Sus scrofa: one gene and its partners. The main gene of each other region encodes a partner of the protein of the gene in region 4 in a complex. Links are inferred from orthologs where the notes say so. Each region holds a gene or a part of one and is shown on either strand. Other genes may lie near its edges.

Region 1 (8,021 bases), on a different chromosome or scaffold from region 4:
CCAGGTGCTCCCTCCCTTACTTGGTCCAAGCTCTGCACAGAGCACACCTGGCCAGAGAGGGCTTTTTCCTGACCACTATATCCACAACACCATCCTACCCCCCAACTCTTTCTTCCCTCTATGCTGCTCTTTAGTTCTTTCTTTTACTTTTCAACCCTGATGTACTATAAATGCATGTGTGTGTTTGTTGTCTGTCTCCTAATAGAATTCAAAGTTCCGGAGTTCCCGTAGTGGCGCAGTGGTTAACGAATCCGACTAGGAACCATGAGGTTGCGGGTTCGGTCCTGCCTTGCTCAGTGGTTAACGATCCAGCGTTGCGTGAGCTGTGTGTAGGTTGCAGACGTGGCTCGGATCCGCGTTGCTGTGGCTCTGCGTAGGCCGTGCTACAGCTCCGATTGACCCTAGCCTGGAACTCCATATGCCGTGGAGCGCCAAAATAGCAACAATAACAACAACAACCACCAAAAAGACAAAAGACAAAAAAAAAAGAATTCAAAGTTCCATGAGAACTGGTCCTTTATCTCTTCCACTGATTACTATGTTCTCTGCATCCAGAATAGCACTTGGCATCTAGTTAAGTGCTCAATAAGTTTTGTTAAATGAATGACTGAATGAATATTATGACCTTCAGATACGAGACTGAAAACATAAATCTTTTTTCCAGAGAATATCGAAACAGGATACATGTTTTTTGATGATGGAAAACGTGCTATAGCAAATCATGTGTGTCCTTTTAAGTGTGGGACAGCCTCCTTGTAAAAGAAAACATGAAGCAGGAGGTCCCCTCTTGGCTCAGCGGAAATGAATCTGACTAGCATCCATGAGGATGCAGGTTCCATCCCTGGCCTTGCTCAGTAGGTTAAGGATCCGGTGTTGCTGTGGCTCTGGTATAGGCCAGTGGCTACTGTTCCGATTCAACCCCTAGTCTGGGAAAGTCATATGCCTCCAGTGTGGCCCTAAAAAGACAAAAAAAGAAAAGAAAGAAAAAAGAAAACAAAGCAAATCTCTCAGCCTTAAAAGTATTTTGTTCACACTGTGGTGTAAACCATTTCTCTTTCCTAATAAGAAAGGCTAAAAATATGGAATAATTATGCATTCTTAGCTTTCTAAACACAAAGATGCCTACTAAGTAATTAGCTTGAGGCAAACAATTAAGATAAAATTTCATAGCACTTATCACCACCACTTACTCTATTAATTCCATTTTCCTATTTATCACTTCCCACACCACCACCACTTTAAAGCCAAGGTCCATTAGAGTAGGATTCTGTCTCGTGTATTCCTACATCCCCAGCTCTTAGGACAGTGCCTGACACACAGCAGACACTCAAATAACCAACTGCTGAGTAAAATAAGAAATTCTACTTTCACGTGAAAATTTTTATGTGGTACAGTCACGCGTTATCCTCTGTTAAGAAAGTTATTTTTGTCAATACTATTTTAAGATTATTTCATCTATAAAATAACTTCCAAGCCCCAGGCTTTGCTTTGATGCATGAAACAAACTTCATGAAGAGGTGTTAATTCATAAGATAGGTGCTTTTTCTTTTTTTTAAAGTTGTCACACCTGTAATGTCATTTTTTCTCCTTTTAATCTTTGAAGCTAAAACTGATTTTGAGTTTTTGAGATGGATCGTATATTTCATTATTAATAGTCGCTAAAACACACACATTATGCAGAACTCTTATATTTCAAAAAATGGTAGCAGGATGCCATATTCAGTGTACAGTGAAGTGCAGGTTAAACAATCCTCTGGAAATTTTTATGAAAAAAGTAGACAACTGACTCTATGGGGACATTTGAGTACAAGTCTTTTCTCCCCACCCCCCTGCTTTTGATTTTAATTTTGAGGTTATCCATAGTTGGGCATTCACATTTTTGTATAACTTTTCTGTTACCAGCTACTGTTTAGGAACGATACTAAACCAAACTAACATTAAGGGGCTTGAAGGGATACCCCTAAGGCAAAAGGGCCTCGCTGAGCCATGACCATGAAATGTGCACATCAGAACAGAAGGCACCCTGCACTTGAGATCACTGCCTCCCGCCCATCTCTCCCCCGCACTGAAGCGTGTTGACACCCTCCCTGTGCACCTCTCCCTCCCCGCCTCCAGGTGGAAGCTGATCAGAAGGAGCAGCAAAGCTAACACTCCTCCAAGGCAGAAGGGCATGAACGGAGTTCGTTGCTGTACTTCAAGACAGTGGAGAATTTGCTTAATTCCAAAACAGTTCAAGAGAAAAATCAGATAAAAGGTATTGGGCTCACATTTGTCATCATGATTGTGAACATTCTCTGCAAGAAACGATAATAAATCTGATCACTTGATATGACGTGTGGGAGACAGGCATATTTCTGGAGCAGCTTCTCATGAGTTCTCCACTTCAAAGAGGCTGCAGCTCGCTGCTCAGCTGCTGTGAGAGCCGGAATCAAGTCAGGCAGGGATGATAACTGAAGACGAAAACACATCAAGAGAATCCAAGATAATTAAGTAAGTCAGCTGCAGCACTCAGCCAGACTCTTCACTCTTAAACACACTGGCGAGGGAAAAGCTCTTGCTCATTTCTGAACTTAGGAGGCATCTCAGTTGTAACAGGGAGGTAATCGTTTAGTGAAATCAAATACTTTAAAAAAAAAACAACCTACAGGTAAAATTTGTGATTACTGGAAACAAAATTTTGAAGGAGACTGGGAGTCACAATCCCTCTAATTAAAGTAAACTTTGCTATTTCACTGTCAGCAAACTTGGACCTTCTCAATTCCTAACTTTTTGTCCTCATGGGTTGCTGCTCTTGGAATAAGAATTAATGCTAATAAAAATGGAAAAATAATGAGAATAAACCCGAGGGACAATAAGTAATGATTGTGGTCATTAACGTGAGAAAAATAGAGGAAATTCAAGCTGTTCAAACTCCAATAGACATTTACCAACCACCTTTTACTATGTACTAAGCACGATCTTAAATGGTTTTCATACCATTCTTTCCACTGATTTCTCACAACAACTCTGTAAAGTAAGGTAACCATATGACATCCAGAAACTTTTTTGATAGATAGGATTTACCTTATTTTCTTGAACACTGCTTTCTCCACCAGTGGACATAAGTTCCAGAATTTCTGGAAGATGATCTATGAGAGCATCTAGTACCTTTTAATAGAGATATTGATTACCCTTCTTGTGATGGCTATGTTTCCCTAATCTTAGATCAATTAACTAACTTTACATGTCAATTTCTACAGAGAAGTAGTGTTATTTACCAAACGGCATTTTGGGGGTTTCTGTTTTCTTGCTCTATCATCTTCTTGCTGGAAAGTCTTAGAAACATACTACCCTTGATCAAACCACCTTTGAAAGGAGATTAGTGTGTCTGCCTCTTGATATTATTCAAAGAGTGTCAAACAACAACCTCAAAAATGCCTCCCAACTTTTGAAAAGCAGTTGAAGTCAGATGACACCCTCAATGATGTCTAATGTTGAAGCGTTGAGATTTGGCAAGTGAGTAGGCATTTAGGTAAACATGATATACTAAAAATAGCATCAAAATTAAGTATTTCAGGAGTTCCCGTCGTGGCGCAGTGGTTAATGAATCCAACTTGGAACCCTGCCCTTGCTCAGTGGGTTAACGATCCGGCGTTGCCGTGAGCTGTGGTGTAGGTTGCAGATGCGGCTTGGATCCCGTGTTGCTGTGGCTCTGGTATAGGCCGGCGGCTACAGCTCCCATTAGACCCCTAGCCTGGGAACCTCCATATGCCACGGGAGCGGCCCAAGAAATGGCAAAAAGACAAAAAAAAAAAATTAAGTATTTCAGGAGTTCCCATTGTGACCCAGCATGTCAAGAACCTGATATAGCATCTGTGAGGACGTGGGTTTATCCGTGGCCTCACTCAGTGGGTTAAGGACCTGGCGTTGCTGCAAGCTATGGTGTAGGTCTCAGATGCAGCTCGGATCTGGCGTTGCTGTGGGTGTGGGTTAGGCCTGCAGCTGCAACTTCAATTCAACCCCTGGCCTAGGAACTTTCCAGTTCAAAGCCTCCAGAAACATACTTCCCGAACAATGCTAAAAGAAATAAAAACACATAAAATATGATATATGATTAAAATTGTGTAAAATTTTAAAAAACTTTATATAGAAAAGATAGAAAATGAAAAAATATAAAAATATAAACAGTGATTAGAACTAAAGGCACTCTTTTGTGTGTCTACTTTTTGGCATTTCTAAAATTTTCCTTAACAAATATATAAATATATGTTAAACCTAGTATTTAAAAAATATCTTCCCTATTTCCAGTCTATGATAAAGTGGTACATTGATTTCAAGCTTCTGGGGCTAGTCAGCTCTTAGAGTTCATGCAATTCCCCCCCAAAAAAAAAGAAAGAAAGAAAAAAAGGAAAATGGCACTGATATATTCAGACATAACATAAAAGAAGTAAAAGCCAGAGTAAGAAGATATTACCTCCAGTGATTCATCTTGTAATAATGTTATTAGTTCTTTATGTATTAAATATACTCCAGAATTCAGAAGTTTAGACACCTAAAATACAGCAATAAAGTCTCTCAGAGTTGAGACTACTAGACATATGAAGGTTATAATAACGATGAAAAAAATAATCTCTATTAAATTTTCTTCTAAGATAAGATTTGGTTACAACATAATGTAAAATTCGATTTCTAGAAGAATAACCAGCTTTTTAGTCTGCTTCCTGACATGTTGGGGTCTGTGGACACAGAGGGTGGGAAGAGTGCAGAGGGCGGGAGTCGGGGGGCGGTTAGCCAGTCATCACTTTCCTATCACAAGCGATAATAAGCCCATGGATGCCTCTAATTCATATTTTAAAGTCTTAGAGCAGCCACCGGAGTCTTATAAAGAAGCCCAGCCACATAAGCATTCATCCCAGTGCAGAGCTCCAGAGAGGGCAAGTTCTACGGCAGGCCAGCAGCCACACAGGGATAGAGAAAACTCCCAAGCAAGCAAAACATCTAAGACTTCTCCCATCAAGGACTTCAAGGAGCAAGAGAGGAGTGGGGAGGGTCCAGCCTAATCCAGCTCCTTTGTGAACTGTTTTTTGTGAACTGTTTATTGTCTTTGTTTGTTTTGTGTCCTCCAGATAAGCAATGGTAACGAATATACAATGGTACATTCACCAGTTACTTTAAATACATATATATATTTTTTTACATACTGAGTTTCTGAGTAAGGTTTATTTGAAAAAGGGGGTCCTAAGGTAAATAAGGTATTTTAAAAACCTTTGTTCTACAGGATTGTTTTGACTTGAAAGTATTTTCACAATATATTTTTTTTTCTAAAAAAAAAAAAAAGAATAAACTCAGAATATACTAAAGTAAGTATCAGAATCTACCAATAACCCTGGGACATTTAAATCAACCAGTGTATTTTCATTATTTAAAAGGACAAACCTAACCTAACCATTCATTTACGGAGTAAAGTATCATTTTAACCTACCTACATGGTAGGATAATACGTAAGAATACATAAGAATACAGAAACTAGCCATGCAGAAAATAGCTAGATTGATGATTTCCAAACTCATTTCTATTAGTGAAATATTTTTGTATACATATTTCAATATGTTTATTTCTATGGTGCTAACATATTATGTCCAATATAAAACATAACAATAAAAGGACGAGATAAAAATGACCACAAATAGAAACTCATATTGCATAAATATTGCTTTCTCATACTCTATCTCGTGCAACCAGCTCTGGCGACCACTGGTCTAGACAAATACAAGCATGCATGGTAACCAAGCCTAAATGCCTGCTCAATACATAAAGGAGAGACGCAGTTCACTCAGCCAGCCAGTGTCCTCTGGCCTCTCCTCCTCCAAAAGCACATTCTTATACATATATTTACAAAGGTGACGTAACTGTTCAACCCTGAATTATTTTAATTAATTATACCATTTAAAGGGACTATTTCCAAGATTTTGCACAATGAATAATGTCATTTCACTCGCACCAGAAAAAATGTTATTCAAAAGAAGCAAAGACTATCAGCCAACAGCCAAAAGTGTCTTAAGCAACATTTCTAATGCTGCTAACCTAACAGTGCTGTGATGTAGGAACACAGCACAGGGAAGGGGATGAAATATTCTTACTGAGAATAAGAATATTTAACATACCTTATAAAGGAAGGAAATATTTTATTAAGCCACTTAGATATTTTTATGTGACAGTCTTGAAGTTGACAAGTTATAGTTCATACATGTTGACTGCAATTACAGCATACATGTTGACTGCAATTACAGCATACATGTAACTTAACTGCAATCACTCAAGAAACAGGCCCCGAATTTCAGCCTCGGGAGTTAAAAAGTTAATTACATTCATCATAAAATTTAAATTCACTTTTGCTCTCACACTATGGACAGTTGTAACAGCTGAATCGAAAGGCTATGCTCGTGATCCGTTTGCTGTAAAAACTGTAAATTTAAATAAACAATCTCCCTCTCAATTTTCCATTTGTTTCAAGTTCCTAAGTTTAGGTGCAAAGTTAAATATAAACATGATAAAGCATATTAAAACTTGTTTTACGTCCAAATCTGCAACAACAGCCACATCCACACCATGTCTGGCTTAGTAGAGATATACTGAATGAATTAATACATGATAAATGAATATAATCCATGTAAATGAATTCTGAAAACATTCTAAACAGAATGATGGGAATGATTTTAAATTTAGGACTAGAATATGAAAGAGATATGGAGCCTATATCTTTTAACCTGTAAACAGAAATGAACGAAACATCAAAAAACCATCTTCTATACATAGGTAGACATAACAACAACTAACAACAAATGTAAAGTGGTATCACTTTTTCAGACTTACTTCATAAAAGCAAATAGCGATAGTGTATCTGACTGGTACTTCGGGGTCGTGGCAAAGGCAGAAGAATGTAGAATAGAGTTCCATGTGGAAGTTTTTAGGATCCACAAAAACAATCATGGCCTGGGCAAGTGGCAGGGAGATGAGAGGAAGGAGAGGAAAACATGCATCAATACCTAATAGCATCATCGTTTCACTTAAACTGAAACCATGTCCTCTGAATAATTTAGTTAGAAATCATATCCAGAAGATTCAAGGGCATGCATAAATTCCAATGTATACCTAGAGATTCATACAAATTATACCAACATTTACTCAGCACCTACGGAGTAGGTACACCAGATATAATGCCAAGTACTAAGTGTCAAATATTTTTAATGCTATCTATTCACATATTTCTAAGTTATAATCAAAATGTTTATCCAATACAAATATATACTTTATTACCGGAAAGTTATAAGCACAGTTCTTCCGTACTGAAATATATTTCTTCTCCTGCTCTAAGATTTGGGGTGAAATCTGGTTTTCATTGTGTCCATTTTCTTGTTGCAAACCCAATGTACAAAGTTTCTTATAAAACTCCAAAAATCTCAAGTGTTGATCTGGAGTGAAAATTCCTAAAATAAATGTAAAACCTTTGTTCAACATTTCAATTGAAAATAAAAATTAAAAAGAGAGAAAGCAAAGTGCAATAAAAACATAATTGGAAACAAAATTTAAATAAATGGTTAGAAATTATAAATAAAAGCAACACTGAAGAAAGTATTGTGAAGAAATTTAACAGGTCTTCAGCCTCATTTTTCATTTTAATTTCAATAGTATAAACAATGCCACACAAGAATTAGGCCTGTATTAGTTTCTGTATCATGAACCACAGTATGTACCACTAACAAGTTACTACGTAATAATATAGGGCCATTACTGCTATTTACTTATGGTAAATATTCTAAAGTTGCCTACAAAAAAGACATGCACTTATGGTCTACAGAAAAGGAGCTTAAAAACTGAATCTGAAAGATGGCAAAGTAAACTCAAAATATTTTTTGTCTTTTTTTTTTTGCCTTTTCACGGGCTGCTCCTGTGGCATATGGAGGTTCCCAGGCTAGGGGTTTAACCTGATCTGTAGCCACCAGAGCCACAGCAACGTGGGATCCAAGCCGAGTCTGCGACCT
Region 2 (8,518 bases), on a different chromosome or scaffold from region 4:
AGCTGCAACTGCCAGCCTACACCACAGCCACAGCCACACAGGATCAGCCATGTCTGAGACCGACACCGCAGCTCATGGCAACGCCAGATCCTTAACCCACTGAGTGAGACCAGAGATCGAACCCACAGCCTCGTGGGTACTAGTGGGGTTCGTGTCCTGCCGAGCCACATAGGAAACTCCCACACCCGCTTCTCACAATGACCTCTCCAACTGCAGAAGAAACCGAGGTTTAGAATAGAAGGGGCAGGATCAAGGTGACAAAGCGGAAGCGTGGCTGAACTGGAGCTCAGGGACCTAGTATCCTAAGATTTTGTACCAGTCCCTTCCAGACTCCAGGTCCCCAACCCTGTCACTGGTGGCACATCACCAGTGCCCAGGGCTCACCCTTCACTCCACAACGCCGCCCAGCAGGAGGGAGCTAGATTACACATATCCCGTGTGTGTGGCAGCAGGCCAGTGGCTTCGGAATCAGTGCAACAGGGACAAGGAGCCTGGGGAGGGCCTGAGGCGGGAGGTGGGGCAGGAATCTGCTTGGGCCAGGGCACCAGGCCCTGGGCCTGCATATGCAGAAGCTCATCTGAGCTCTGTAAGGATTTCAAAGACTTGAAGAGGTACAGTGACCTGACTCAGGTCACACTGTTTATAGGTGACAACACAGGATTCCTACTGAAAAACACCTGATTCAAAACCCTCTGCTATGTGATGTGATTTCGTTTGATTTTGCTTTTTAGGGCTATGCCTGCGGCATACAGAAGTTCCCAGGCCAGGGGTCAAATCAGAGCTGCAGCTGCCAGCCTACACCACAGCCACAGCCACACAGGATCACAGCAACGTCTGTAACCTACACCACAGCTCATGGCAACGCCGGATCCTTAACCCACTGAGTGAGACCAGGGATCGAACCCGCATCCTCACGGATGCTAGTCGAGTTTGTGACCACTGAGCCATGACAGGAACTCTTGATGTGATGTTTTCAATAGGAGCAAGTTGAGCTCATGTGCTTTGGGCCTCTGTGATTCCAAGGACCTGAGTCTCCATGACGTCTGAGCAAGCTGAAGTGACTGACACTACCAGCCTCAGCCTGGCCCCTGGTGGGTCCCCAGGTGCTAGACCTACTGCCAGGTGCTAGAGTTGGTCCTCCTCCAGACTGGGCCTGGAACAGCAGTGGCCACCCCAGGCCTGAGGCTTGGACCTCCAAGCTCCACCTCGCTTTCATCTGGGCAGGACCCCACATCCCTCAGTAGCTCCCTGCTGCCTCTCACAGTCTAAATGTCTACCTGGCTGTCAGTGAGTGTGGAGTCCAGTCAAAGACCTGAATCCAAAACCAGCCTCCCCTCCAAGGAGCTGTAAGACCGGGGGCAAGACCTCTTCTCTGAGGCTCAGTTTCCTCTTCTGTGAAACACTCACCACTGCCTGCCTGTTCCACAGGCTGCAAAAAGCAATGGAGGCTGAACACCTAACTTCTGCTATTCTGAAAATTCCACTATGCTACCCAAGCATTAGCTGTCATCACCACCACACTGATCCAGGCCCTGTGGGAGGCAGAAGACTTTGAGGAAAAGAAGAGTGCCAGCCAGAAATGGGTTTAAGTTCCTAAAAATGCCAATCAAGACTGAGGGATGGGAGTTCCCATTGTGGCTCAGTGCCAACAAACCCAGCTAGTATCCATGATGATTCGGGTTCGATCCCTGGCCTCGCTCAGTGGGTTAAGGATCCGGTGTTGCCATGAACTGTGGTGTAGGTTGCAGATGCGGCTCGGATCCCCAGTTGCTGTGGCTGTGATGTAGGCCGGCAGCTGTAGCTCTGATTGGACCCCTAGCCTGGGAACCTCCATATGCCATGGGTACGGACCTAAAAAAACAACGACAAAAAAAACCCAAACAAACAAACAGAGAGAGATTGAGGGATGACTAAAAACATCTTGGGGCTGGTCTGGTCAAGGAAATATTTTTGAGCTGGCAAAACATGAAGAGCCACAGAACAGCGTTTAAAAGGGAGCCTTGCCTGTTCACCAAACCCATGCAGGCCCTGTGTGGCTGTGACAGGTCTGTGTGGGGCAAAGCCAAGCAAAGAGCCCAACGGCCAGCCAGCTCTGCCACCTTCTTGCGGGGAAGCCTTGGTCAAGTCCCCAGGCTTCAAGACGTCACAGCTTCCTGCTCTGTAAAATGGGGCAAATATTTCCAACCTCACAGCATTGCTGTGGGAAGGAAGTGGATATAAAGTTCTTTCAGGTGCTAACAGTGGCCTATTGGTCACAAATGTGGGGGTAATTCTGCTGGCTCTGTTTCTGCAATTCTCCAGCGTGGTGGAAACCACAAATAGTTCCTCAGGAGGCAGGTAATGGGTCTTGTCGTCTTGTCACCACTGCCCACACAACCCAGAGCTCCACTTTTTTTTTTTTTTTTTTTTTTGGCCATGCCTTTGGCAGGTAGAAGTTTCTGGGTCAGGGATTGAACCAGTGCCACAGCTGTAACCTGAGCTGCAGCAGTGACAATGCTGGATCCCGCTGAGCCCCCAGGGAACACCTTCCACTCCTATTCTCAGCCTGCTTGGAATGCCCTTCCTACTAGGCCTGCCCACTCAGCTGCCCAAATTATCCATCTTTCCAGGCCAACTTCTCTTTCAAGCCTTCACTAAGGACTTCAGTCCACATCAGCACTGCCCTCTTCCTACAAAGGAAGAACAGTAACACCCAACAAACATCGAGCACTTACAGTTTACCAAAGCCTATGCTAAGCGCATCCCTTACTCTTCACAGCCACCTCATTAAGTTCTAGAATCCCCACTTTAAATAGGAAGAACCCGAGTCTCACAGACCTCAAGATCACCAACACAGCTAGGAAGTGGCAGAGCTGATTCCAACCTAGAGCCACATTCCAAAGCCTGGCTCTTAACCACTACATCATCCTACTTCCCACAGAACTCTAAGCTAGGCTTCCCTTCAGATCTTGCTTAATTCTACTCTGGCTTATCTGCTTCTATTTCATAGGCTCCCACAAGGAGTATGAGTGTGATCCAACTCCACTTTCTTGCATGATGGCCTGAAAATGGACAGGACATGGAGAACTCGCTTCAGGCTTTACCCCTTACTCCTGAATGTAAGCATCCTCACCTGTGAGATGAAGACAATTCCACACACCTTTTTGGGTTGTTACTGGGATTAAAACAATACTGTAGGAGTTCCCGTTGTGGCACAGCGGAAACAAATTCGACTAGGAGCCAAGATGTTGTGGGTTTGATCCCTGGACTCACTCAGTGGGTTAAGGATCCCTCATTGCTATTGCTGTGGCTGGTGGCGTAGGCCAGCAGCTGAAGCTCTGATTCAGCCCCTAGCCTGGGAACCTCTAAGTGCCACAGGTGCGGCCCTAAAAAGCCAAAAAAAAAAAAAGAATACTGTAAACCAAATCTTCTTGCTGACATTCCCTTTTATCATCTTATTCTTCAAGGCCTAACCCAAAGTTCAGTTCCTCCAAGAAACGTTCTCTGTTCCCCCCCAGACAGACAAGGTTGTTTCCCTAAGCTTCCTAAGTACTTTCTGTAATTCCAACTCCACTGAAAACACATCATCTAATACTTCAGATATTTGAATCCAGGTCTGTCTTCCCCCAACAGGCCCGGCTGCTCCTCGAGGGAAGTGGCCCTATTCGCTCCTCTCTGGGAAAGCTTCCAGGATGAGCCAGGCCCAAAGTTCTCAGCTGGATTTGCCCCAAGCTTCCGGCCTCTGATCAGTGGCTGAAGCCTCTCTTCCCGGGCTCACCTGGCCTTTGCGCACAGGGCCTTGACTTCGCTCTCCTTGATGAGCTCGCAGCGCCGCAGCTGCTCGATCTGCCGGTCCAGATCGCTGATCTCCGCCATGGCCCACCCGCCCCGGAGCGGGTCAGAGCCGGGGCCGTAGCCCCCTCCGCACCGCACAGGGGTCTCCTGGGAAAGGCCAAGGAGAAGCCGCGGATCAGTGTCCTTAAGGGGCGCCGGGTCGGGGGGGGCAACTCGGTTCTGGAGCTGGCCCGGCCCCCCCAACTCCCGCCTCCCCTCACATAGGCCCCGGGGCCCCCAGCGTCCCACAGCCCGGGCCGCCCTCCGCTAACTCCCGTCGAACCCTGAGGTCCCGCGCCAGGGACGGTGGCCTAGAAGGGTCTCCGACTATTACCGACGCAGCGACTCCGGCTCCGGTTTTCGTGCTCCCTGTCTTCCTCTTTCCCTCCGCTTTGGGCCGCCGCCACCTCCGCTTCTACTTCCGGCCCCGCCGCGGAAGCAGAGGAACACCAGTTCCGCCGCGCGCCGGATGTGGCGTCATACACACGCCCCCCTCCCAAGCCGCGCCCTTACCCCACCCCCTCAAGCCTAGGAATGCAAATGAGCCGGAAGAACCGGATGTCTGCAATGTGCGAGCGGAAGTGATTGTGGGCTGAGCGGATTGGCGCTGTGAGGGCGGTGACGGACTCCACATCCGCTCCACATTACCGTGTCAGTGAAGGAAACTGGAACTGAGTCGGCGTTCCGCGTTGTAACTTCAGCGTACACGTTTCTGTTTACCTGTTTTAGTCGGCCTCCCCCATTACAGTCCCTGAGAGATGGAATTTTGTCCTGTTCACACTTGCAGCCCCAGTTCTCACTTAGAACATGGCCTGGCACAGTTGGCATACAGAACTCTTTGTTGGATGGGCGAAAGACTCCCAGTCCAAATCTCTTTCCAAGGCCCAAGAGACATCTCTCCGATGGAGGACCTCTGAAGTTAGAGTCAGAAAGGAGTCCACCTTCCCCACAACAAGCTTATACCTCAGTCAACCTGACTTCCCTGGTTCCAGAAAGGTCTCTTTGACACCCCTCACCCCTGCTCTTGTCTGCAGTTTTATTCCTTTAAAAAGAAGGAGGAAACTGGTGTTCCGGTTGTGGCTCAGGGGTACGGAACCCGACTAGTATGCATGAGGTGAAGGGTTCCATCCCTGGCCTCGCTCAGTGGGTTAAGGATCTCTCTTGCTGTGAGCTGTGATGCAGGTTGCTAGATTGCAGACGCAGCTCAGATCTTGTGTGGCTGTGGCTGTGGCAGGCAGATTCAGTCCCTAGCCTAGGAACTTCCATATGCTGTGGGTGCAGCCCTCAAAAAAACAACAACAAAAAAAGGAAACTGGCTAAAAGAGATTAACTTCCACAGTTACATAGCTAATAATTCTGGGCTTGGGTCAAGGTTGATGTTTTAACCTAGGAAAGCTGTGTCCTCAAGGTCTGGTCTCTTCTGTCACACTTTCTGATGCTCACTTTGTCATTATAAACTTTATAAAACACTCCAAACTGACATTTAAAGTCCTCTGCTTCTTTAGTCTCTTGCTGCAGGCAGAGGAAGCGATTTGTCTTGAAACAAACCTCTTGGTGTCAGAGCCCTTTTGGAATGTCTTTTATTGTCTTCTATGGGCCCTCTCTTTTTCTTTTCTTTTTTTTCCTAGTCTTTTTGCCTTTTTTAGGGCCGCTCCTGTGGCATATGGAGATTCCCAGGCTAGGCGTCTAACTGGAGCTGTAGCCACCGGCCACGCCAGAACCACAGCAATGCAGGATCGGAGCTGCGTCTGCGACCTACACCACAGCTCATGGCAACGCCGGATCCTCAACCCACTGAGCAAGGCCAGGGATGGAACCCACAACCCCATGGTTCCCAGTCGGATTCTTTAACCACTGTGCCATAATGGAACTCCTAGAGCCTCTATTTCTGTTTGCTTCAGACTTTGTTTCACGGAATTGAGTGAGGCTAGGTGCAGAAGTGAGACCATAGTTTGGAGAGGCACTAGGTAAAAATTTGGTTCTGGATGTAGGCAACAAATGGGAATGTACAGAGAGAAGGAAAAACCAAGTTCTTAAACTCCTAGAAGTTTCCAGGTTTCTATGCAGATGACTATAGGGATTCAGTAGGTACAGAAATCATGTTGTTTTTCCTCTCTCTCCAGCGGATCTCAGCAGGAAAGGGTCCATTTTAGGAGATTTGGGAGGTGGCAGGACTAGGTAGGCCCCTGGTTATGACAAGGATCTTTAATATTCCCCCAGCCTGGGGAAATGGGAAGGGTTCAACTCATGGCACAGGGCCCTCATTCTGACTTCATGGAATGCAGGAGCCACAGAGGTTCAGTTCTCAACTGGGAATCAGCTCGAGTGTGGATGTGCATTGTTGAGGAGGGTGTGTGGAAAGATTCCAGGGTTTTGTTTTTTTGGTTTTTGGCCTCATCTGTGGCAGGCGGAACCTCCCAGCCAGGGACTGAACCCACACCACAGCAGTGACAACGCTGGGTCCTTAATCCGCTGAGCCACCGGGAGACTCCCAATTCCAGATTCTTCAAGGGATTCCACAGCCCAGAGTCTAAGAAGCCAGTTCTAATCCCATCTCCTATTAAGATGGGAAGACTCACAGGTCAGCAGTGAGGTAGATTAAGGAGAAATGCATTCATAACCTCGTTTTCACCAAGAGACAGTTAGGATCTCTGGCGCGATCACCTTAAGGACGAATTGGGAGTGACAGCACCTACTCCTATTGGATGCTTATGTTAAGCCTGCCTTGCAGATTCAGGAAATCTTAGTTTTTGTCAGTGGCTGTTTTTTTGGTCACAGGGCCCCCCTTCTCTGTACCTGTGGGTTCTGGGCCTAAAACTGAGGCTAAAGCTGCAGCCTCCTAAGACCAGCAGTTACACGTGCACTCCCCACCTGGAAGCCTTGTATCAGGGGCTGCCGGTGGAAGAAGCAGAGCACTTGGTGGTGGGAAGAAAATTCCCAAGCTCTTCTCTTGAAGCCCTGGGCAGGTATTGAACAGAGTATATGCTATCCCATCTCCTGGTTTTCTGCCCCAGCCAGAGGAACATAAAGCAAGGGCTGTGTCTTCTGCCACCTCTGCCAGCCCTCCCCTGCCCCAAACACCACAGACAAGGTCACCACACTCCCCCTTCAATGGCTGTTTATTGGCAGTAGGCTCGAGAGGGTGATGGAGTTAGCGTATACAGACAACACCAGGCACCAGTGTCACGAGGGAGGCAAAAGTGTTGGGAAAGGGCGGCCTGGAGCCCCCGAGGCCCCCTCTCTTGGAGAGGGAGGGTGGGAGGGGGCGGGGCCTGGCGTGTTGAGGGGGCAGCCTCAGCACCTCCCCGCTTAGTAGGCATGGTTAGAGATGAAGAGGGACTCGCTGGCGGCAGCCCCCGCCTTACCGCTCGGGGTGTACTTTCCTTGGCAGGCAAGGCTGTTGGCCTAAGAGGGGAGAGGAACCAGAGTGAGAAGAAGGTCCCTTCTCTGAACCCTGTCCAGCCCAGCGCCCTGCCCACCTCCTGCCCCAGCCTTACCAGGGCTCGCTTGACATATTCTTCCTGGGCGGCCTTCAGGTTTTCCTTCTTTCCGCCCCAGGCCTTCAGGGCCGAGGCCTGCAGGGCTCGGCCGTAAGAGAAGGTCAGGGCCCACGGCTTCAGCAGGGGGCACTTGTTGATGGCGTTGAGGTTGATGGAGGCCTCCTCCTCGCTCTGGCCTCCGGAGAGGAAGGTGATCCCTGCAGACCAAGGGGAGGGCTGTGGTCAGAGACCCAGGGGGCTGGCAGAGGCCCTAGACGCTGGGCTGGGAATCCGACCGCGTGAACACAGGGACGAGGGGTCGAGTTCCTCGACCTCCCAGAGGTCAAGATGAGGGTGTGGGTCTCACCAGGGACAGCGGGGGGCACTGTGCGGCGCAGCGCCGTGACAGTTGCCATGGCAATCTCCTCGTGAGAATATTTCTGGGTGCAGGCGTGGCCTGGGGTTACCATATTGGGCTTCAGCAAGGTGCCTTCCAGGTAGATGTGGTGGTCGCTCAGAGCCTTGTAGACAGCAGCCAGCACCTAGAGCAGTGGGGGACCAGAGGGAGAGGGAGGTGGAGTCGGGGGACAGGGGTCAGACTCGGGGCCCTGGGCCCAGCTCCCCAGCCCACCCCACTGGCCAGGTAGACAGGCACCCTACCTTCTCGGTTACATACTGACAGCGTTTCAAGTCATGGTCCCCATCGGGGAGGATCTCGGGCTCCACGATGGGCACAATGCCATTCTGTGGGGTGAAGGACCGGGGAGCTGTGAGGCCTCCTATCCCAGAGCCCCAGCTACAGCTCTCTGCAGCCACTGGCCAAGATCCTATCTGCATGATGACAGACTCCTGGCTTCACGGCTGATGTCAGAGATGAGGCCTCTCCGCAGATCCACCCCCACCCCCCGCCCCCGCTCTCTGTGCACACGAGCCCTCCCCGGGCCCAAGCTCGATGCTTGGTGAGGATCTGGAGCGGCTGCCTTGGGGGAGGCAGGGATCCTGGCAGATGGGGGGCGGGCTAGCGGACACCGAAGCAGGAGGAGGTGGGAAGTGGCCTGTTGGGGACCTGCAGGCCCACCTGCTGGCAGATGCTGGCATAACGCGCCAGGACGTTGGCGTTTTCCATGATGGCGAGGGAGGAGGGGGTGTGCTCCCCGATCTTCAGCACACAGCGCCACTTGGCAAAGTCAGCTCCGTCCTTCTTGTACTGGGCACAGCGCTCTGAC
Region 3 (8,021 bases), on a different chromosome or scaffold from region 4:
TTTAAAAGAATTCTGACTTGGAGTTCCCGTTGTAGCTCAGCAGTCTAAGAACCCAACTAGTATCCAAGAGGATACAGGTTCTATCCCTGTCCTCCCTCAGTGGGTGAAGGATCCAGCATTGCCATGAGCTATAGTAGAGGTCACAGACATTGCTCAGATCCCATGTTGCTGTGGCGTAGGCCAGCAGCTGCAGCTTTGATTCAACCCTTAGCCTGGGAACTTCTATACGCCACAAGTACAGCCCTGAAAAAATAAAAATAAAAAGAATGCTGATTTATAACTTACATGATATTCCACAAAATTTTTGTGTCTGGTTTTCTTGAAAAATGAAATAGCTGGACTAGATGATGTCCATTATTTTTTTCTATTCTGTTAGGCTATGATTCCATAATTTCTTCACAGCTTGATATTTTCTTGCTCAAGATATTTATAATAGATGTGTGTAATTACCCACATAAGCTCTTGACATACACTAAATTTTTTTTTTTTTTTTGTCTTTTTGTCCTTTTTAGGGCCGCACCCACAGCATATGGAGATTCCCAGGCTAGGGGTCCAATCGGAGCTGTAGCTGCGTGCCTGTTCCACAGCCACAGCAACGTCGGATCTGAGCTGCATATGCAACCTACACCACAGCTCACAGCAACGCCAGATCCTTAACCCACTGAGCGAGGCAGGGATCGAACCCACAACCTCTTGGTTCCTAGGCAGATTTGCTAACCACTGAGCCACGACGGGAACTCTCGACATATATTAAATTTTGATGTTCAAGAAGCACTTTTAAATCATTCCATGAATGTATAAACCAAAGCCTCTTGAGGAAGAACAAAGCTGATGTATTTCAGTAAGCGTTTCATGGAGATGATGATTTGATGTAAGGAAGATTATTGTTTAAAAATCTTGATATAATTTTCAGTTGATTTTCAAACAGCCAAAAACATCCTTGCTTTAAAGATATTTTTATTTTTATTTATTTATTTATTGTCTTTCTGTCTTTTCTAGGACCGCACCCGCGGCATGTGGAGGTTCCCAGACTAGGGGTCTAATCGGAGCTGTTGCCGCCGGCCTACACCAGATCCGAGCAATGTCTGCAACCTATACCACAGCTCACGGCAACACCAGATCCTTAACCCACTGAGCGAGGCCAGGGATCAAACCTGCAACCTCATGGTTCCTAGTCGGATTCGTTAACCACTGAGCCACAATGGGAACTCCAAAGATATTTTTAAAGAAGGCATTTTAATTTTTCTTGGGAAATTTGTCGTACCCCACTTTAAGCAAAAAGTTTAAGGTATTTCCTCTTTCCTATGGAGTGGATTCTTTTATAGATCCATTAATAATAATGACAGCACATGTTCAGAAAACATTACCAAGAATATCTCAATGCAGTGAGGGTTTTATTACCATGTTTATAGATTTTTATTGAGTCTTTTTTCCTCTTAACATTATTAAATATTTTATATAGGAGCCTTAGAACATATCTATTTATGGAGTTCCCATCATGGCTGTGTGGTTAATGAACCCGACTAGTATCCATAAGGACACAGGTTTGATCCCTGGCCTTGCTCAGTGCGTTAAGGATCCAGTGTTGTTGTGAGCTGTGGTATAGGTTGCAGATGCGACTCAGATCCCATGTGGCTGTGACTGTGGCATGGGCTGGCACCTGCAGCTGCAATTTGACCCCTAGCCTGGGAACCTCTATATGCCGCTGGTGCGGCCTTCAAAAAGACAAAAAAAAAAAAAAAAAAGGAAAGACAATGTCTATTTGGTGGGTAAAACTGCTAATACTTCTAGAGAGTCTACCTAATGAAAAAATTAAAATTTGTAGCTTCTTGATATAAAAATAGAGAGGAAATACAATTTTACTTTTGCTCTGAAAGATAGGATATATGCTTCATTCTCATTGTTTAGATGTATTGCGATGTTTATTTTCATATGATGACTTTCTTTGTAGATAATTATCAAACAGCACAGCTGCTTGCCTTAATTTTAGAGCTACTCACATTTTGTGTGGAACATCACACATATCACATAAAAAACTATATTATGAACAAAGACTTGCTAAGAAGAGTCTTGGTCTTGATGAATTCAAAGCACACCTTCTTGGCCTTGTGTAAGTAACAATTTAAATGTACACTCTTGTAAAATGTTTTGTGGAACAACATTTTTAATAGAAAGAGAAACCTAAGTTACCCATGTAAGTATTTTTTTATAGCAGTGCATATACTGTTAAAGAGGTGATTGTGAGAAGTACTAATATTTTGTTTTATTTAAAGGACAAGTGGTCATAGTGTTTTACCACTCACATATTGTTAACATTTAGATTCAGTTAGCTTAACTGTTTTGATATAATACCATGTGCAATGACATCTCTAATAGAACCACTCCTGCTGTCTTTTATAACTGCTTCATCAAATTGCCATTTATATTTTTGAGATATGGGTCTTGAAATGTATATGTGGTAACTCAGGTTATTTATTTGAACTTATGGGGACCACTTGGACCACTGAAAATCAAACTTAAATGCTGATATTTGCTCACGTGTTGATTTTTTGCAGACTATAAACTTATTCTTCATAATTTCACCTGCTGATTAGAGATAAACCTTCTCTTTCCAAATTAAAAAAAAAAAAAAAGCTTTGTGGGGTTTTTTCTGAGCATAAAAATCATAATTACAAATTTAAACATTTAATGTATAGAAAAAAAATTAGTCTCCCTACTACTTCCTATATTTTTAAGGCCTTACGGTAGCTGTTCTTAACTGCCTGTATATTTCTTTTCATTTTTCCATACCTATACAGATTTACATATGTGTAGATAGAAACAGGATCAGAACACACAAATCTCAGCCCCTGAATAGTACTTGAAGTTGTTGGATACAATGTGAAGTAACATTTTTAATATTTTTCTTAAACATAGCTGAGCAACATTTTTTAAGTTAATTTTTATTTTATATTCTAATATAGTTGTCCCCCCCCCTTAATGACAAACCCCATTCTGATTTTGAGCTGCATTCACTGCATTGTCTGTGCATCCACCAGCACTACTCTAAGGAGTACCAGCATTTGCATTGTATGGTTTTGGGGTATTTTTTAATCTCTTCCTTGGAACTGTCAGCCTACCAATTATTGGGAGTTTTGTTAGCTCTCTACATAAGTGTACAAGTTTTGAGTGGTCTTTCTGTAATTCCGTTTATCTCAAAGCCTAGTACAGTTTGGCTTTTACTTTAGAAGAACATAAACATTGCTTTTTGTAAAAATACCTGTGTAATAATTAATATTGGTGGGATTATCAACTAATTCCTTATGGTATTTTTAATTAGGTGCTCTTCGTTTTATGAGGCGGATAATTGGCCTTAAAGATGAATTTTATAATCGTTACATCACCAAGGGAAATCTTTTTGAGCCAGTTATAAATGCTCTTCTGGATAATGGAACTCGGTACAATCTCTTGAATTCAGCTGTTATTGAGTTATTTGAATTTATAAGAGTGGTAAGTTTATATTAAAAGATTCTTAGTAAATTAAAATAATTATATGTTTAGTGATATTAATATTTTATTTTTATTTTTTGACTTTTTAGGGCCGCACTCACGGCATATGGAAGTTGCCAGGTTAGGTGTCAAATCAGAGCTATTACTGCTAGCCTACACCACAGCTACAGCAACACCAAATCCAAGCCACGTCTGCAGCACACACCACAGCTCACAGCAATGCCGGATTCTTAACCCGCTGAGTGAGGCCAGGGATTGAACCCATGTCCTGTGGATACTAATTGGATTTGTTACTGCTGAGCCATGAAGGAAATATGTTAATTGTGAAATTCAGCATAATATTTTAAACCATATTTATTTTACTCTATATTCTTTTCAGTTTCATTTGTTTTGGCCAAAAGTTTTAGGGTATTTAGCATATGTGACCATGGCAGTCAAGCATGCCATTCATGTGATCACTGTGTCCTGTCATAAGGGTAATCCGTTAGGAACCATGAGGTTGCTGGCCTACACCACAGCCACAGCTCCAATTGGATTCCTAGCCTGGGAACCTCCATATGCCATGTGTGTGGCCCTTAAAAAAGACAAAAAAAAAAAAATGAATAGAGGAGTTCACCTTGTGGCTCAGCAGAAATGAACCCAACTAGTATCTATGAGGATAGATAGATTGACTAGTATCTATGAGGATAGATAGATCGATAGATAGATAGATAGATACTTCGACTCCTGGCCTGGGAACCTCCATATGCAACATGTGTGGCCCTGAAAAGACAAAAAAAAAAAAAAAAAAAAAACAATTGAGTAGAAAGGTTGAAAAATAATTCCCTTGGTAGACATTGATACAAGATGCATAAGAGGGTAGGATGTTATCATGGAATTTGAAGTTAAAGAGACCAGGAAGTTAGGTAGACTATTCCGGCTGCCTTATTTCATTCATGAAGGGTTTGAGACACCCAGAGTGGTTTTGGCTGACCTATTCAAGGGCATTCATTTGGTTGGGAGCACAGTCAGGCCTGAATGCTAAGGTACAGCTCAGTCTCAGACAACAGAAGATTTATCATAAAAAGATCTGGAGAGAGCTCTATATGAATAACAGGGATAAGACAAATAACTGAAGAACCAGTACAGTAAATTTACCCTCTCCCACATGCTGAAATGATTCCACTGGGGGACATGGCCACATGGTTTAAAAAGAACTTGAAAAAAAAGGTCAAAACTAGAAATTCATTGTCTAGTTTTCTTTCTTAGAAATCAGATTTGTACTGATGAATGACGCTATTCTCTTGCAAAGGTTATTTGGCTGACTGGATTGTTTTTTGTTTTTTTGGTTTTTTTTAAAGTAGTCATTTGCTAAGAGTATGGTTTGCAAAAAGGATGACGAGGATAGAAGTACTAGCCTTAGCCTTAGAAAAAAAAAGCAACATAGTTAACAAGTTCACCAAGTGTTTGAACCCAGGTTCACAGTGTATTATTCTATAAGTTAAAGATGAACTTATATATTTTTTTTCCCTTTAAAAATCTTGGTGAGATGCTGATAAAATGAATTTTAGGGTTCACAGCCCCATCCCTAATTTTTGATTGAATTTGTTTTTCTGAAAATAACTTTGAGTGATTGATAAATGTACATTGAATCCAAAAACTCAGTTTATCTGTTTGTGTTTCAGTTTACAACACACAACCATTTTACCTAGGTTTCTAATTTTTCTCCTTTGCGTATTTTTTGATTGAGGTGTGCTGAGGAACTAGTTTAAAGACGTGTAAGTCGTCACTGCAGCCAGATATGGTCTTTCTCTTAAAGAAGTGATGTGTATATTTCTTACTAATATTAAATCCTAAAAATCAGAGCTTAATTATTTTTAATAATGAGCTAGCTTTGTACCCATGCATCTGCAGTGATCACTTAAAATGGTTCATTTAGAATAATTTAGAAGTTATTACTTTTGGTTTAGTTCACAAAAATGATACCACTAGAGAACTGTAAAAACATACGAGAGAAGTTCAAATTATTTTATCTCATACATATGTGTCTACAGTGTGCTGCAGTTGGAGGAATCTGTTTTTTAGGTAAGGCATATCCCGTTTTGATAGTGGAACGAAGTCATTTAGTAATACCTTTCAGTGTTCACTGAGAATATGATTTCAACATGTCCTTCCTAAGTAGCCATGCAGTCTTCATCAAGCCATCCATTCTTTCTTATAGCCTCAATTTTCTCATTCTGTAAAATGGGGAGAATAAAACCTATCTCATAGAGTTGTTATGAGGATCAAGTAAAAATGTTTTAAAGTGGGTTTTTGTTTTTTGGGTTTTTTTTTTTTTTTGTCTTTTAGGGCTGCACCCGTAGCATATGGAGGTTCCCAGGCTAGGAGTCCAGTTGGAACTGTAGCCTCAGGCATACTCCAGAGCCACAGCAATCCAGGATCCAAGCTGCATCTGCGACTTACACCATATCTCATGACAGTGCTAGATCCTTAACCCACTGAGCAAGTCCAGAGATCAAACCCACGTCCTCATGGATGCAAGTCAGGTTCACTAACTGCTGAGCCACTATGGGAACTCCTAAAGTGCTTTTTTTCAATTAATTATTTTTTTGGCCTTTTTAGGGCTACATCCATGGCATATGGAGGTTCCCCAGCTACAGGTCGAATTGGAGCTGTAGCCGCTGGCCTCCACTGTAGTCACAGCAATGCCAGATCCGAGCTGCATCTGCGACCTTACACCACAGCTCACAGCAACACTAGATCCTTGACCCACTTAGGGAGGCCGGGGATCAAACCTGTGTCCTCATGGATACTAGTCAGATTTGTTTCTGCTAAACCACGACGGGAATTCCTTAGAGTGCTATTTAAATTGTAAAGTGCTATTATGTAAATGCAAAAAATAGGTGACATAAACTAAATCCATTTACTTTTCAAATATTCTTTATAGTCCCAAAAGGGCTTCAGTCAATTGCTTCTCCTTTTTTCCAAGTTTACTGTGTGGTCCTGGCTCATTGTATACAGAAACTAGGGTATTTATTTTTGGAAGGTGATTCTGAAAAACCTTTTTTGCAAAAGGTTTGAAACTATAAAAGTTTTTTTTAAGTTTTTCTTCTAAGAAGCATTGTATTACATGTGAAATATAAATTTTGTGCTTATACAGGAAGATATCAAGTCTCTTACTGCACATATAGTTGAAAACTTTTATAAAGCACTTGAATCGATTGAATATGTTCAGACATTCAAAGGATTGAAGACTAAATATGAGCAAGAAAAAGACAGACAAAATCAGAAACTGAACAGGTAATGTTTATTTATAGCCTGTAAAATTGTGTCCAAAATCATGTGTAATTTGATCTTACCTATGAAATTTACCCAGGACATTTCTTTGCATCATTAGTTAGAACAGGGTTGTGTAGGAGGGTAGGATATTCTCCCTGCCCTGAATTTTTATGTGAAAAATTACTGCTCCATATCATTACTCAAGATAAATTTTTGAATTAATGTACAAACATCCTTGGACTATTCTCTGGTTACATCTTATATCACAAGTGAGCTGATTATGATATGTTATACTCAGTTAAAATTACTTCAGCCCCTCTTGGTTATACATATTTTTTCTCAAATTTAATCTGGTCAGGAATTTTAAATCATACTCAATATTTGTAATATATTTCTTACAGTGTACCATCTATATTGCGTAGTAACAGATTTCGCAGAGATGCAAAGACCTTGGAAGAGGATGAAGAAATGTGGTTTAATGAAGATGAAGAGGAGGAAGGAAAACCAGTTGTGGCATCAGTGGAAAAATCTAAACCTGAAGATGATTTTCCAGATAGTTACGAAAAATTCATGGAGACGAAAAAAGGTATTAAAATTTTGAATTTTTGATTAGTACATTCTCTTATTTAGTGCAGAAATTATGCATTTGCTTATGAAGTTGTGATTATAGTTTATAAAGCATGAAAGACATGAATTTTTTGCTAAATTAAACCTTTTAAATTATATAGTTTTTTCAAAACATTTTATGTTCAAAATGTTTTTCTTAAGACTTGACATTTTGTGATTTTCTTCATTCGCTATTCCAAATTGCATTGTCTTTTTATACTTTGCCTTCTGTGAACAGTCTTTGCTTTATTTCTGTACCAAAATCTTCAATACTAATAGAGATCATATTGATTCATAGAAACTCCAGAGCACTCTGTAATTTATAGCTAAGGAAAACTAAGCTTCAAAGAAGTACTTTGCTGTTTGAAATTTTTAAATTGTTTCATAAAGATAAAATAATCCTGAGAAAAGTAAAAGTAAAATTTCCTGCATGTCAAATATATGTAACTTGTTTGTAAAACTGGGGTCTTACAGTGTTTTTCACAAACTTTTTTTTTTTTCTTCAAGAGAATTAATTACTTTAATTCTGTGGCAAGAGAAATTAGTGTTACTGGAGTACTATCCTGCATATATTTTGATATATAGAGGCATTTCCCAGACTTTATATAAGTTTGTGATTTTTAGTGTGAGATTTTTCTAAAGGCATTTCTCATTACTTATTGTTTCTT
Region 4 (8,021 bases):
TGCATACACTATGACCTATTAACTCCTTTTCTACAAATTAAAAAAAAAGCAACAATCTAGGAGTTCCCATCATGGCGCGCAGGGGAAACAAATTTCAACTAGGAACCATGAGGTTGCGGCCTTGCTCAGTGGATTAAGGATCCGGCACTGCCCTGAGCTGTGGAGGAGGTCGCAGATAGGGCTTGGATCTGGCTTTGCTACAGCTGTGGTATAGGCTGGCAGTTGTAGCTCTGATTGGATCCCTAGGCTGGGAACCTCCAGATGCCGCAAGTGCGGCCCTAAAAACCAAAAAAAAAAAAGCAACAATCTATACATATATTCAACATATGACATTCACCAACACAAAAAACTACGTACAAGGATGCGCACTTGTACGCACTTGCACTTGTAACAGCCAAACATCCACCACCAATGGGAACAGGGAAAACGAACTATATAATCTATTCATATAGTAGAAAATAATTCAAATACACAGAAGCTGTAAATATACTGATATAAAGATGAGTCAGGAGTTCCCAGCGTGGCGCAGTGGTGAACGAATCCGACTAGGAACCATGAGGTTGCGGGTTCGATCCCTGCCCTTGCTCAGTGGGTTAACAACCCGGCATTGCCGTGAGCTGCGTGCGGTGCAGGTTGCAGACTCGGCTCAGTTCCCGCGTTGCTGTGGCTCTGGCGTAGGCTGGTGGCTACAGCTCCGATTCGACCCCTAGCCTGGGAACCTCCATATGCCGCGGGAGCGGCCCAAGAAATAGCAAAAAGACAAAAAAAAAGAAGATGGGTCAAGTAAACTATAACTAGCATTATCCTAGTTTCTTTTCTCTATATATTCCGAGGACAACTAGGGATCTTTTTAAACTATTAACACACTTATGACACTTTTATAATTTGAAAGATAATCTATTACAAATAGCAGGAAAGGTATGCTGGCAAGGACAAACTTACATGTACTGAAAAAAAAAAATACAAAATGATACTTCTACCTACCACTCCCAGCAAAAATGTGTTTTAAAAGCCAACAACTAATCTGTGTATATTCAAAACACAAAAGTGAAATTGAAAAATATTATACACATTATTTCAATGTAGCATGTATCAATATACAGACAAAACATTTATGGTTCAAAGATGAAAAATGTTTTAAAAGCAACTATGTTTAATTATGCTTAGGCAGTTAATGACCAAGTCATTTTCAAAGGTAGGTCAATAACCTGTTTCAGAAATTAAGAAATTACAAATATTTAATTTATTTAATACCCATATATCTGTGTTTCATCCAGCTTAATTTGAAAGAAGTGAAAACAGTATTACTAATTCAGAACAAGTAAAGTAGCTTCACACTCACAAAGTAGTGGTATAATCTGACCTGTTTCACTGTAACTCTTATTTTAAAATGATAGCCATAATTCATTGAAATAAAAGATGAGTTCCTATAATATCTAAGTACTACCTATCTGCTTCTGCACTATTTAACAATATCCCCGGAGTTCCCATAGTGGCTCAGCAGAAACAAATGTGACTAGTATCCATGAGGAAGCGGGTTCAATCCCTGGCCTCCCTCAGTGGGTTAAGGATCCAGTGCTGCCCTGAACTATGGTGTAGGTGGCAGAGGCAGCTTAGCGTTGCTGTGGCTGTGGTGCAGGCCAGCAGCTACAGCTCCGATTCAGTCCCTAGCCTGGGAACATCTATGTGCCTCAGGTGAGGCCCTTAAAAAAACACCCAAGAGGTACTCTTAGGCACATTCATTTCAACAGTAAATCTTACATATTTCTAATACATAGCATGTGGCTTCATCTGGGTATGGGCTTTAAAAAAAAATTAGTACTTATAAGTAAATATATGCATACAATTAAATGATGTTCAATAATACAACAGGGTAGACAGTGAAAGTAAGTCTCCCTCCAATTCCAAATCCCCAAGGGCAGCTCAAAGATAAAGCTTTAATTTCTCCCAAAAGAAAAGTATTTTGGCAACAATACCTAAAACCAAAGCTTAAGGATTTGATATTTTAAACCAAACAAACTTAAAAGTGGGGAACAGTACATACAGCAAAAAGGTTATCTGAATTACACTATCTTGTTGCAAAATCCCATGTCATTAAGTATCTGAAGAAAAAAACAAAAGCATTTATGCTACCTAAAAATACAAATGAAATCCCTTCAAATAAAAATTGACCGTAAATATGAATTCATGGTTAACATAGACACAATACATCAGATTAGGTATTGTCACCACCCAAATTGTTAATAACAATCTAAATACTGAACAATTCAACTTTACAAATACTTCGTTCCTTCAATGAAGGAAACCGTAAAAATACAAAGTCCTAAAAAGAGAAATATTTAAAACAACATAGAGTATGACACACAGCCATTTAAAGGTCAGTTTCATTTCAGTGAAGAGTAACTTTCCAGAGCCATGTTTTACAAAGGGCTAAAATGGTTACTTACTGAGGGGAAAAAAAGGACTCCAAAAAATATTTTAAAATAAAAAGTCACTAAGCTGAATTCTTCCATAAATTGTTATTTTTCATTTTAAAAGAAATGTTACTTATCTCAATGTTAAACAGGTTCTAGACAAAGTATAAAAATTTATAACATTAAGTAAAAAATGGAAAGAAAAATTTTTAAATATTTCCTGATATCATTTCCACTGTCATACACATTTAAAATCTAAAATGCCACAAAACCATATAAAGATGATTCGAGTTTCAAAAAAAAAAGGTGTAACTATTTTAAATATATGTAAGCTGGAAATCAGTAACTACTATATATACCACAAGAGACAGAATTTATTCTAATGGATAATCAGTTATTAAAGAACCAGACACATCAGAACTAAGAGAACAATCACTGTTCAGCTAAAAATTAAACCTTTAAAAGTAGAATTAAATGCATACCCATTAAATCCAGTGACAATTTTCAGTATTCTTTCCTTCATTTCATCAAAAGGAATATATTCGACATTAGGGTTAGGAGGACCTCTTGGTTCAGGAGCTGAAGTTCTGAAATCATCCATCACTTTCTCCAGTTTGAAAATAAAATAGCCTTTAAATTGGGACCACTGAATCCTATAAGTAAAAAATTTTGAAAATGTAATACCATGTAGCTTGAACACAAAGCACAAATACAGCTTAAGATTTGGACAAGGAGTAGTGGGAGTGTGTTTCTTCAGTATCCTGTACCAGGCCTGATCAATATGACTCACACACTCCAACTTGGTTCCTTCTAAATTCTCCCTACTCCCGACCCAAACAAAATCTAAATCTCAGCTTAAAATCTTTAAAATTAACTATTTCTCAATTAAAGCTTATTGTCTAAGTCCCATTCTTCACATTTTTAAAACATTATTTTGACTCTGTTCCTCATAAAAACCTAACCAGGGAGGTGTTACTGCCCCCATTTTAAAGTAGGTTACTAGAAACTAGGCCAACTTTACAGTGATAATTTTAACTGGACAAATCAGAATGACTCCATACCTCAAGTTGTTATCATCCAAGCCATAATGCTTATAAGACTAGTAAATATTTCTTGTCTTGTATCTGATAAGTACCAAAAAAAAAACCCTTTAATTTCTCCTTTTTCTTTTGCTTTCAACTAATTTTTTAAATATTTTGTCATTTAAAAAGTATTTATCATAGGGTTCTATCCAAAATGTATCTTGCAAAGTAAAAATACATAATACATTATGTACATTCCATATCTATTCATGAATTTAACATCTTTTTATCCCGGTCCCCTCACATTCTACCACTAATATAAGGAAATTTTATGCTGATACCAGCCTGAATAGCCTAAATTACAGGAAATACAAGAGTGAGGAATGGCAACCATTTCTCCAAACATCTTAGACAAGAGACTACTCAGGCAAGATAAGACTACTACTCCATAGTCACTCTTCCATTCCATCCAGCAACCCTATAAACTAAGGCAGCAATTCTCTAAGTGTGGCCCAAGAGGTCAAAGCTATCTCCCTAAGAATAGAGATAACTTATTCACTGAGTTGACATCTGCAACGATGATTGGTGCAAAAACAGCAGTGAGTAAAACGGACGATACTTGCACAAATCAAGGCAGCAATACCAAACAATACTGGTAGTGATTACCTTCTTGTGTGGCTTGGATCCAGTGTTGCCATGGCTGGCCTCAGCTGCAGCTCCAATTGAGCCCCTAGCCTGGGAACTTCCATATGCTTCAGGTGTGGTCATAAAAACAAACAAAACAAACAAAAAAAAACCTTGTGCATCAAAGGGACACTATCAGAAAGAGTGAAAAGGCAACCCACAGAATGGGAGAAACTATCTGCAAATCATCCATCTGGTAGAGTGTAAATATTCAGGATATATATAGAACTCCCACAACTCATCAGCAAAAAACCAAACCAACTTATATAAAAACGGGCAAAGTATATTAACAGGCATTTCTTTAAAGATCTACAAATGGCCAACAAGCAAATGGAAAGATTAAATGTTAATCATTTGGGAAATGAACATCAAAATCACAGGAAGATAGAACTTCATTCACATCCATTACATTAACTATTTTAAACACACACATAAAATAACAACCACTGCCCAGTAGTATGTAAAGAAACCCTTATTCATTGCTTGTGGGAATATAAAATGGTGAGGACACTACGGAAAACAGTATGGTGGGTCCTCCTTAAAAAAAAAAAAAAAAAAAAAAAAAAAAAAAAAAATTAAAGAATTTACCGAATGATTCAGCAATTCCATTTCTGGACACTCCAAAAATGTGAAAACAGAAACTCAATCGCACGAAATTCACTTATACGCAACGGTAGGAACTACCCAAATGTATAAACAAAATGTACAATATATATGTAAAATGAAATACGGCCTTAAAGAAGGAAATTCTGACACATACTACAACAAAGAATCTTGAATACATTATGCTAAACCCTCGAAGTAAACCAGACACAAAAGAATAAATATTTTGATTCCACTTGTCAGAGGTAATCTAGAATAGTCAAATTCAGAGAGACAGCAGAAGGGCATTTGTCAGGGGCTTGGAAAAGGAATGGGTAAGAGGTTATTGTTTAATGAGTTGCAGAGTTTCAGAAGACAGATAAATAGCCAATAAGCACACAAAGATTCTTAACATTATTAGCCAGTACTCATCAAAATCACAAGATAGCATTTCTCACCCACTAAGGCTGTTATAATAAAAATGATAGACAATACAATAACAAGTGCTAGAGAGGATGAAGGTCAAGTGGAAACCTATACATGGATGGAAATGCAAAATGGTGTAGCCATTTTGGAAAAGTTTAGCTTGGCAGCTTCTCAAAAAGTTAAACAGAGCTGATATGTAACCTGACAACTCCACTCTGTTAAATGAGTGAATTACATGGCAGGTAAATTTTATTATTATTTAAAAAATTCATTCAGGGTCATTATTTAAAGCTATTTATATGATTACCTTTTCCCTCCTTTCCCAAGTTTTTTTCTGGGAAGGAGAATTTGAGGTTTAACAATCAGGAGGTGGCACATTGTAATTTTTGACTTGCCTAATATTAATTTCTGTGTACTATACTACTGTCAGTGATTACTAAAATTTAATCTTTAAATTTCACTACACTCCCTACAGACATTTAACTAATACTTAAACACACCAGGTAAGGTTACTGAAATAGGAGTCTTAAACTTTTCATTTCTTAAATTAAGAATTCTTCCTGTAGTTTTAACAATCACCCACTTAGTCATAACCTGTTTCACGAATTAGAATTTCCATACACACACAGTTTTCTAACCCATCTTCCCATTAACTGTTGGCAAATCTACCCATGACATCCAAACATCAACAACATATTAATAGGAATAGGGAGAGGAGAAGTGAAGGAAACTAGTAGGTAAAGCAAAACTATGAGGAGCATCAAAGACTCTAGATCAGTCAGGAATTAAATGCCATAAAATCAATTACGTACAACTTGTATTTTAAGTTTCGAATGTATCAGGTAAAGTTATCCTAAATCAGATCTGAGATGCAATTCAAAAGTTACTGTGCCATATACAATAGAAAAAATACGTGTGGAAAAAATGGAAGAATGCATTTTGATGCAACACAACCATCTGATAAAAACAAAAGCAGAAAATGCATCACTGGAAATTATGTAATTTGAGCACAAAACCACGCCATGAATAAATCAACTAAAAATTTGGCAACAAAAATAATTTTCCTAGTAATGTACTCATTGCATAAAAAGCTAAAAAACAAACAAAAAAACCCTTATTTTTCAAATGAAAATAAATTACTCTAAACAGATGCTCATGAAACATAAACACATATTCAACTTGAGAATCAATTCTTTCACATAAAAATTTCCTCCCAAGATAAAATACATACTCAGAATTTAAATCTACTTGGCTAGAATTAAGTATTTAATGAAATTCATTATCCATTAATTTTTTTAAGTAACTTCAACTCCCTCTTCTTCTCTTTCCCTTCCACTTTCCCTTTATGCAGCTTTTCCTCTAGAAAGGCAAAACAACTCAGATAAATATATCCTCCTACCAACACCACAATGACCTTTTTCTTCCAAAGGAACTCACAAGTCTATACTAAAACGAACATATTTCCCTGACAATGCTCAGGTTAAAGGTATTTTTTCACAGGTTCAAGAGCAAAATCCAACTGTTATTTCCTAGCCAGTTCTAGAACATTTTAGGGGGAAGTATCAAGTCACATCCTAACTTGCTGCCTCTTACAGTTCCAAATTCTACTAAGATTACTCCCTATTTAGCCTGTTTCCACCCAAAATCTGTGTGGAAAGCTAACAAAAGAGAACATGGGAGTGCTGTAATTACCTCCAAGGAACAGCACATACTGTACCACTTGTAAGCAAAGGGGAATATGGAAAAAGACAAATGAAAGAAAACAAAGGAAATTTAATGGGCAGTCATTGACACACAGTGACAGACTTTGAATCAGGACACAAAGTGTCAAAGAATTCAGCCTTAACTTTCTGAATGAAGCAAACAAAGACAAGTATATTTAATCTAAATATTGAATTACATGAGCGAAAGAAGAGCAAAAATAAGAACACAACTGCTTACACAAAATCATGACATTTTCATGAACTATAAAAATACAAATTACTAGTTCAGAAAACCTCTACGAGTGGGGCCCAATCTAAAGAGCATTCCTTTTGCCTAATTACAAAGTATATATATTATACTTTATTGAGCAAATATTAAAATATATCAGTGGAAGAGACAGCCCAGAAACAGGCCCACGCATAAATGGGAACTTGCTATATGCACAGACTTTTCAATAAATATTTTGAGAAATGACAAAACTACTACAAAATTTTACTAGAGTTTAAAAATTAAAAAGACGTCTGGTCTGTCTTCCCTTCTTCTGATTCCATAAATAGGATAGTCACTGGAAAAATTTATATAACACAGAAAGACAGAAACAAAATGAAAACTGTCCATAATGTGCCCAGTAATCATTACTAAAGTACATTTTTACTCCATTTTTTCACCAATATTTATTTTTTAAAAGAATCTAGGTTTGCTTCCAGCACATTACAGTTAAAAATAACTATGGTTAAAATCCCAGTAACAAACTTTGTAGGTGTGGAAAGTAACATGTCTTTTCTATCAAAGGAAATCTTGGTTACTCCATTTTGCTCTGGTTTCGGCTGAAACACCCCCTACGACCCCTTTCTTCTTTACCTCTTTTCCCAGCAACAATTTGTTTCAGGCCAACCGGGAAGAGTGTGCGCCCTGACCTGACCAATGGGAAGGGGACAGGTAAATCACCTGTGTTAGGGATAAATAAGGGAGAGTCCTTTGTTCTGAGTGCATGCTTTTTGGAGTACCCGTGCCCTTCTGCCGAAGTAAAGAGCCTTGTCGAAATTTCTCCTTGTCCACATGTCTCACTGACAACCTGAGCCAGAGTTATCTTAATTTCCAACATAGGCATCTGTTTATTATCTTGGACAGATTCCAATCAAGTGGAATTACCAAGTCAAAAGTACAAAATATAAACATTTTAGATACA

What was found.
Region 1: PPP4R2 (region 4) and PPP4R4 share a complex: the UniProt entries of both Homo sapiens proteins name them as parts of the PP4 complex. The link is inferred for Sus scrofa from reciprocal best matches to the Homo sapiens genes PPP4R2 and PPP4R4.
Region 2: PPP4R2 (region 4) and PPP4C share a complex: the UniProt entries of both Homo sapiens proteins name them as parts of the PP4 complex. The link is inferred for Sus scrofa from reciprocal best matches to the Homo sapiens genes PPP4R2 and PPP4C.
Region 3: PPP4R2 (region 4) and PPP4R3B share a complex: the UniProt entries of both Homo sapiens proteins name them as parts of the PP4 complex. The link is inferred for Sus scrofa from reciprocal best matches to the Homo sapiens genes PPP4R2 and PPP4R3B.

What each region holds. Positions count from the first base shown.
Region 1 is NC_010449.5:115,487,392-115,495,412, reverse strand, and holds part of PPP4R4 (serine/threonine-protein phosphatase 4 regulatory subunit 4), read right to left. Parts: intron 7,467-8,021; coding exon 7,297-7,466; intron 6,973-7,296; coding exon 6,853-6,972; intron 4,532-6,852; coding exon 4,454-4,531; intron 3,148-4,453; coding exon 3,064-3,147; intron 2,451-3,063; coding exon 2,268-2,450; intron 1-2,267. UniProt on the Homo sapiens protein: Putative regulatory subunit of serine/threonine-protein phosphatase 4.
Region 2 is NC_010445.4:18,258,564-18,267,081, reverse strand, and holds the start of PPP4C (serine/threonine-protein phosphatase 4 catalytic subunit), read right to left. Parts: upstream 4,266-8,518; 5' UTR 4,148-4,265; intron 3,922-4,147; 5' UTR 3,856-3,921; coding exon 3,758-3,855; intron 1-3,757. Other genes in the region: ALDOA (fructose-bisphosphate aldolase A), read right to left, coding at 7,123-7,218, 7,311-7,510, 7,660-7,834, 7,953-8,036, 8,371-8,518. UniProt on the Homo sapiens protein: Protein phosphatase that is involved in many processes such as microtubule organization at centrosomes, maturation of spliceosomal snRNPs, apoptosis, DNA repair, tumor necrosis factor (TNF)-alpha signaling, activation of c-Jun N-terminal kinase MAPK8, regulation of histone acetylation, DNA damage checkpoint signaling, NF-kappa-B activation and cell migration.
Region 3 is NC_010445.4:85,693,136-85,701,156, forward strand, and holds part of PPP4R3B (serine/threonine-protein phosphatase 4 regulatory subunit 3B), read left to right. Parts: intron 1-1,951; coding exon 1,952-2,110; intron 2,111-3,319; coding exon 3,320-3,489; intron 3,490-6,628; coding exon 6,629-6,768; intron 6,769-7,148; coding exon 7,149-7,333; intron 7,334-8,021. UniProt on the Homo sapiens protein: Regulatory subunit of serine/threonine-protein phosphatase 4 (PP4). May regulate the activity of PPP4C at centrosomal microtubule organizing centers.
Region 4 is NC_010455.5:54,354,280-54,362,300, reverse strand, and holds part of PPP4R2 (serine/threonine-protein phosphatase 4 regulatory subunit 2), read right to left. Parts: intron 3,068-8,021; coding exon 2,897-3,067; intron 1-2,896. UniProt on the Homo sapiens protein: Regulatory subunit of serine/threonine-protein phosphatase 4 (PP4). May regulate the activity of PPP4C at centrosomal microtubule organizing centers.